Bombyx mori: one gene and its partner. The protein of the gene in region 1 interacts with the protein of each later gene in a pairwise test. Links are inferred from orthologs where the notes say so. Each region holds a gene or a part of one and is shown on either strand. Other genes may lie near its edges.

Region 1 (4,412 bases):
AATATGACCTTACAGTTCTAATATTTTAAATGAACATTTATGACTATTATTTTTTTTTTTATTTTTATTATTAGTATTATTTTTTTTTATTTACTAACAATCACACCACGTTAACTAGTCCCGTGATAAGTTCGTAAAGAACTTGTGTTAGAGGTACCCCCTTGTGTAGTGACCATGTCACTTACCACTACACCAGACGGCCGTTACGTTACCTATATTATACATTCATCATCAACATCATTCTCCTGCCCTACTCCCAGTAACCTGGGATTGGCGCAATATGTTTTCTCCTACCATACCTCTATCATAAACCATTTCTTCGCTCACTTCCGCTCTTATATGAAGTCACTTACACATATCGTCTTTTATGCAATATTACACATTATCACATATCATTATAGTATACATTATTAATATTTATTATTATATACTTTTATTGCAAATTGGTTTAATTCAATTGTACCTGGCAGGTGACTGCTAATGTGTGACATAATTGGGTTTTGCCAGTACGGAATTCACCAAATATTTCAGTTATAGAACCAGTTTCTATACCACCTCCCAGTAATCTATCTAATTCCTTTGAACCAGTAGTAAGTTGTATTATTTCAGCCCTGGAAGAATTCAAACAATACTCAATGTAGATTTGGTTTAATTAAAAAAATCTAATACAAGTATTAGCTGCAGTTATTTTCTGTGTCAAGAATATGACTATACATTACTAGTTCGATACTGGGATTTGAGCTGTGTCCCTTATGTCAGGTCCAATAATTGTGTCATTATAGCCTAAGGTAGATACATAGACATAACAATTTATGTAACAAAGACGGGGTACAAATCCTGCAGGAAGGTACTAATTTTTTTGCTTTTTTACATACTTTGCATGTGTTAAATGTTTTCCACAACTTTGTACTAACCTTAGCCATATTGGCGTTTCATTAATTAATAATAAAAAATATAAATAAATAATTTTAAAGGTACCTACCTCTTTTGATGAAACTCAGTAGCTGTTGTAAATCCCATTGGCACCAATTTAGATGCTTCAGCTAATATTTTATCTGCCTTCGCTTCAGATATCCCTTTAATTGTGATTAGCCATTTTTTTGGAGCATAGGCAACAGATTCAACAGTATGATATCCCGCTTCCTCAAGCTTTTTTATATCTCCTGATGTGATGCCATTGCCCTAAAATAAATTATTCCATATTTTTATTATTTAACAAACAAATTATCACAATCCAAATTTAGATATATATATGATGTACACAATGTTGCAATGAAGTAAGGTTGAACGATTAAGTAGCATCAAATGCAATACAACTGAGAATTTGACTTAATATGAGCATAGACTCATGTTGTTCTTACAGAACGTTTTTGTGTCTTCTGGAGATCTATTTGAAAATTCTTAGAGCAGATAAACTTGACCCTCTTTTACCCTTGTTTTTTCTTTTCTTGAGAGATCTTTTATTTGGAATGTAGATATCTTACTCTCCAAGGCAGGATATGTAGATTTACTTAAGCATAAATAGATAGGATTCTTAGGAGCACTTTATTATCATCCAATATGTTTATTTATTTATTTCATATACACATTAAAAAGAAATATAGTTAAGAGAATGGAATAAATTAGAATTTATCTACAGTATAAGTTGCGCATTGTATCCAATAAGTCAGTTCAATCCAGTAATATTTGTAAGCAAGTTATAGCTTGTCACATGACGTCACCTCTAATTTACTGATCAGCTGTGGCCCGCATTCGTCAGCATCTTCATCCAAAGAAGTCGTAGTTGCTGAAGCAGTGGTATTCATTATTGTCCGTGGCTTTCAAACAATTACCGGCTCATTTAAAAATATTCAAACTTCAGTTGCTTATAAATAACTTTACAAGGTTAGGTGTCTTTGGAGTACACGATTTGGATTATAAAATAATTTTAACTAATTTTTTTTTTATTGTTTGTTAGAGCAAACTTGTAAGTAACATACGCGTTAAAATTTCAATCACTATTTTTATTTTTAAAGTCGACACTGAAGTCTGAAGACATCCGCTTATTTTTTTAAGAGATTTTATGACCTGGTAACTAAAACCTTTAAGTCATGTCTTAATTTAGTTTATATTCTTATTTTTATGAAAAATGATAATATGAGGCCTATAAAATCAAAGGCAGCTAAATCCAAGTCTGTCAAATATTCAGGTAAACTGCAAAAATCAGCCCTAAACACGTCATTACGGATCCTCCCGATCCATCGAAGTACTGCTCTTGGTAAGGCCAGTGTTAGCAACACTCCCGGTTTGAGAAGCTGAAATAGCTTTGTTCGGATAGCTACGATATTCTTTAATTTAAAGCACATTTTAAGCACATAAAGACTGAGAATATTACTAATAATCTGAATTTTAAATGATAAAACTTCGTTTATTAGTTCTTAGTACAGAGTAAAAATAAATTTTTTGATCTGAATTTGTTAGAGATTTAGCTGCATTTGTTATAACATGAAAACACTAAAGCGTGTCCAACTAACTAAACAAGATAGCGCCATTGTTAATCCATTTTGCGACATTGAGGCGTTTAGCTGCCTTTGATTTTATAGGCCTCATATGGAGTGAAATAAAATGAAATGAAGATGATTAATTTGTGACATTAATCAATTGAGATGAAATTAAATGAGATGAAATGGGATGAAATATATGATGGGATGAATATGGGATGAAATATAATCTCAGAAAAATGGTGGTCATTTACTGAGATTTTTTCAGTGGACTTTTTGGAGGACCCGGAGAAGTTACGTCCAGCGGCTTTGTTTCACTTTCCCACATTTGTGCACTTTTACAGATATGAAACAGTTAATAAACCACTGCTATTACACATTTAAACCTGAAGAAACACTAAATAGACAAAATGAAACAAATCACCCAACTTTACTCCTCGCGTTCCCGCCAAAAAGTCACATCCGCTTAAATGTCAAGATCAATCATAGATGTACACATGCTGGCCGTTTTCCAATTACAGCACAAGAGCGCATTATGCGGCATAATGCTCAACTAAGCTTCAGCATAATTCGGCATTGTGCGTCACTGAGTCACATTATGCTCTGTAATTAACCTTTACTTAATGGTAGTTTTCTAATTAATGTTTAATAATGGTGGTTTATTAACTATTTAGTATCGGTGAAAGTGCACAAATGTGGGAAAAGGAAACAAATCTACTGGACGTAACTTCTCGGTATCTTCCAAAAAGTGAAACGGAACTACCTAAATAACCGCCATTTTGTTGAGACTATATTTCATCCCATATTATCTTGTTTCATTTAATTTCATTCTAATTTATTAATGTCTTAAATTAATCAACTTCATCTCCTTTTCATACCTTCGCCTTTCCAGTTTGAAAAATGGAACCTATTACTCAAAATCAGCTGTTAGGTGCAACCACTGGTCTATGGGTGCAACTGACAAGTGACAATTGCTCCCTGCGTTGTCGTAAACATAGAAACACGAATGTAGGTAAACTAGGTACTTATTAACTCCATGAGGTAAACATAAACATACAGAATACCGTACCCCACTGCCAACGAATTTATTTAAATTTTTGCGGGTTAGCTTTTTGATAAAATTGATTTAACTCTATTGAACATTTATAACATATGATTATTGGATTTTAATAAGGAGATGGAGGACACTCAAGAAGTAACACTTTTAATAGAAAATCAGAGATTCACGGCGAACAAAAATGTTTTGTGCGAGTACAGCGACTATTTTCGCGCAATGTTCAGTGGAAACTATATTGAAAACGAACGACAGGAAATAAAAATTGATGTAAGGAAAATTATAAATTATGTTAGCTAAATTAAATTAATGTATAAAATGACAAACAATTAAAACAATAATTATGGATTTAACTCTATGAATAATCGCAAAATGTTTAATTTTTAATCATAATTATCTAGTAGTAGTGGGTAGTAAATTGATAATTTTGCGATTCCTTGATGTTAATGGTACCTCAATCATACCTCATTGTGGAACGTTTGGTGAGGGTAGGCTGTTGACAGCTAACTATTCTATTTATAATATTCTATGTATAGAACGTACCGTAGACGTAGTGTGGCTACCCACACTAGCTCCCTCGCCTCCCACACGTTGGACAGACCACCTATTGAGGTATGCGGGATCTGCTGGACGCAAGCAGTGCAGGCCGATCATTGTGGTTTGGGAGAGGCCTATGTCCATTTGAGGACATCTGTGGGAATAAATATCTACCTACAATATGATAGTGTAACTTAAAAATAAAAAAGGACTGTAAACAAGAAGAACTGTAAATTACTGAATATTAAAAAAATTACTCTTTCTATATCCACTTCCAGATGGTTGATGCATACTCAATGAACATGATACTTCAATACATGAGAATAGGTTTGATAGATCTC
Region 2 (3,372 bases), on another chromosome or scaffold:
TGTTCCAATCAGCGAAAAACTAATTTTTTGTTCGTAAAACCTAACCTTCCTAATTCGCGGCAGTAGCACTATCACAAGCTTTTTGCAACAATGACAGCATTTTGTTTGCAGTAAATGGTGGGCTCAGTGGTGGATTTACACTAGGGGCAGTCGCGTAGTCGGGGCAAGTGCCCAGTGCGGCAATTTTTTAGGGCGGCAAAATTTTGGAAGTAAAATTTTTGAAATTAATTCTATTAATTAATCATTTTCTGTTTAATTGATAATACAAAAAATTGAATTCATCCATTATTTGTGAATTATAATTTTGGCACTTTAGGTAAAAATTCATAATCAAAATTATTTAGTCAATTTATTTCCTTGAACATTTAAAATAATAATCGATTTTTCCATTTTCTGGACTTAAAGAAATTTAATTTTTTTTTTCATTTAATATTTATGAGTCACCCTTAGTGCAAAATTTATAATTGTTAGAAAAAAAACAAATATTTATTTATGTTTTTGGAATATATAACATATGATAAAGTTTCTGCAAGAAATTACTTATTTAATTTTGAAAAAAATAGTTATAAACTATAATTTTTGGTAAAATTCCAGTATTGGGGCGGATTTTTTGCCCAGGAGCGGAGTCTAAATCCGGCCCTAAGTGGGTCGATATTTTTACGAGCCGCAATCTAAAATAAAGGTTTACGTGTTAATATAGCAACAGATAAAATATTAAAATAGGTAAAAATAAATTATTAAATACATTTATTTAAATCCTTACCTTTAATTTGCGCCCAAATAGATTCTATGGCATTGCATTGACAATAGTAGGGTGGAAGGCGCATTACATTGTGTCCGGCTTCCTTAGCCATTTCGTCCAATACCTATTTTGGTCTTACAATTTTCGTTAACACGGAGTCATTCCTAAGTCGCAAAAGTAATTTTAATTGTGGTATCTTCATTTGCAAAAAAAGATAAAAGAGAGATTAATTGCATTTTAAAAACAGCTCATAAATATTTGTGTAATTTTTTTGAAACATTTAATTAGACTGAATTTCGGCTATCGTCGTAATTAAGACCCGTTTTTACTGCTAAAATTAAATTAATATTAAATGTCAACAGCAACACTATTAACTTCCTACAGCAGAAAAGAAAAAAAAGTGAATCGATTATTTTCATTTTTTATCTGTAGTCTATACTACAATTTTGTCGACCGCTCTGAAATTAAGGGACGCTATTTCGCGCTTTTTCATTTATTTTTATTGTAATTTCGTTCTAGTTTTAGCTCGATTATAAGTAAAATCTATCGCCCAACATTAAGAATAGCCCTTGATTGAAGCTCGGCTCATAAATCGAGTTATTTTTGTAGAAAATGTCAGGGATAGCAAGTGCACGTTTAGCTGAAGAACGGAAAGCTTGGCGTAAGGACCATCCCTTTGTAAGTTTTTGTTTGTTGAAAACACATTGATTTATGTTTTCGTAAATAAATAAGCTATTCATCTATTTCAGGGTTTTGTCGCGAGGCCTATGAAGAATCCAGATGGTTCATTGAATTTAATGACTTGGGAATGTGCGATACCTGGTAAAAAGGGGGTTAGTATTTCTATATCGTGAAAACTTCTTGTTTCTTATTGATGCAGTTTTAAAGTTATTGAGTTTAAGCATAGTAAATTACGGTAGTAGAAGTTCTAAAACTATAACCGGTTTTTCTTTTTAGACTCCATGGGAAGGTGGGCTGTATAAACTACGTATGATCTTCAAAGATGATTATCCATCAAGTCCTCCAAAATGCAAATTTGAACCACCACTGTTCCACCCCAATGTGTATCCATCAGGTACGGTGTGCTTGTCACTGCTTGATGAAGAAAAAGATTGGCGTCCAGCAATCACAATAAAGCAAATTTTGTTGGGTATTCAAGATCTTCTCAATGAGCCTAACGTAAAAGATCCAGCGCAAGCTGAAGCCTACACAATTTATTGGTAAGTTAAACATAAACATTTTCAATACCCGTATTGCATTTAAAGAACTGTTATGTTTTATAATGTTTAATTTTGTAAAAATTGAATTTTTTTGTAATATATGTATTTGTTATATTACTGAAAATATATCACGAAACTATCCACATATTGTGATACTAATATTTAATTACTGTGACCTACAAAACTTGTATGCCTCAATATTAAATAAAATTTTATTGTTACAGTCAAAATCGGCTAGAGTATGACAAGCGAGTAAGAGCGCAGGCACGTGCAATGGCTGCTGCTGAGTAAATATCAGAATGGGACAATGGAGCGTTAATGAGCTAAGCCATTGCCTAAAAAGCAGTATAAATGTGAAGACAGGAGATTAAAACAGCAACACTACGCTATTTTGGAGATTGTGCTATAACATTATCTTCATGGTATTTTCCAGTTCCAAAAGTATTTAATCCACACAGTACGCAGTGATGGTTTAAACTATAGATTTAAGTAATTTTGAAGTAAATGCAAGTTTTTAATAACAGACCAAATCAACACTATGCTAATGTTAGTTATTTTAATTCTGGAAAATTTTGAAGCCATTATGAATTCATCATTTTATGGCTAACTTGTATTTATTTATTTGTTAAGTTAATAACAGAAATGTTAACAAGCAAAAAGCATCAAAGATTTTAATTACAACCGAATATACAAACATGTTGCTGTAATTCTCAAAATATACGGTTACATTTCGAATCTATGTTATTTTAAAATATTTTTGTATCTTATGTTAGACTTAATGAACAATAAATATTTAAATTCTACAATTTACTGTGTATTTTTAAGTTAAAATTTTTTCAGATTATTTTCACAATCATTCACTATTCAAAGTCAGCGCTTTCTAATCAGCCGTTCAGAGTAACTATTTGGAAAACAAATAATTCATAACTTTATTTATTTATCAAAATGGTTAGTTGACATCAGATATTTCATTTCACATGCTGATATTCATTAAAGTTGGGAGTTAAACAAATATTTGTTTTATTCCAGCTTAAACGCAATCATTATTTAGTTTGATGACAGATATAATTAAAAATTAGCTACAAAAACCTCCATCTAGTAGTGAATAGGCACCTCAAAATACAAAAGGTGAGAGACAGGCGAACTATACGATCACGACCCAACTAGTTTTAAGTAATAACTGAAACTATTTAATATGGTATTTTCTATTATTAGAACCCATTGAACTTGCCAAATAATGCCAGGACTAACTTAGAGATATGAGTTCGAAGACTTGATTTTGTTATACGAGTTTAAGGGACGCCCACCCCATAGATTATACACTTAATAACCCATTTTCAAATCAACAACCAATTAGTCCTTTTCCGCAATTTCGAATATGCGACGGTCCCTCAACATATCGCCGCGCAC

The links.
Region 2: the proteins of Rad51 (region 1) and ubiquitin-conjugating enzyme E2 interact in a two-hybrid assay, tested with the Caenorhabditis elegans proteins (2 studies listed by BioGRID). The link is inferred for Bombyx mori from reciprocal best matches to the Caenorhabditis elegans genes rad-51 and ubc-9.

Annotation. Positions count from the first base shown.
Region 1 is NC_085131.1:10,828,469-10,832,880, forward strand, and holds the start of Rad51 (rad51 homolog), read right to left. Parts: upstream 2,931-4,412; 5' UTR 2,735-2,930; intron 2,082-2,734; 5' UTR 1,806-2,081; coding exon 1,722-1,805; intron 1,183-1,721; coding exon 983-1,182; intron 612-982; coding exon 464-611; intron 1-463. Other genes in the region: kelch-like protein 26, read left to right, coding at 3,381-3,488, 3,655-3,804, 4,350-4,412.
Region 2 is NC_085114.1:7,031,824-7,035,195, forward strand, and holds ubiquitin-conjugating enzyme E2, read left to right. Parts: upstream 1-1,187; 5' UTR 1,188-1,354; coding exon 1,355-1,420; intron 1,421-1,491; coding exon 1,492-1,575; intron 1,576-1,699; coding exon 1,700-1,962; intron 1,963-2,186; coding exon 2,187-2,253; 3' UTR 2,254-2,764; downstream 2,765-3,372. UniProt on the Caenorhabditis elegans protein: Accepts the ubiquitin-like protein smo-1 from the aos-1-uba-2 E1 complex and catalyzes its covalent attachment to other proteins with the help of an E3 ligase such as gei-17.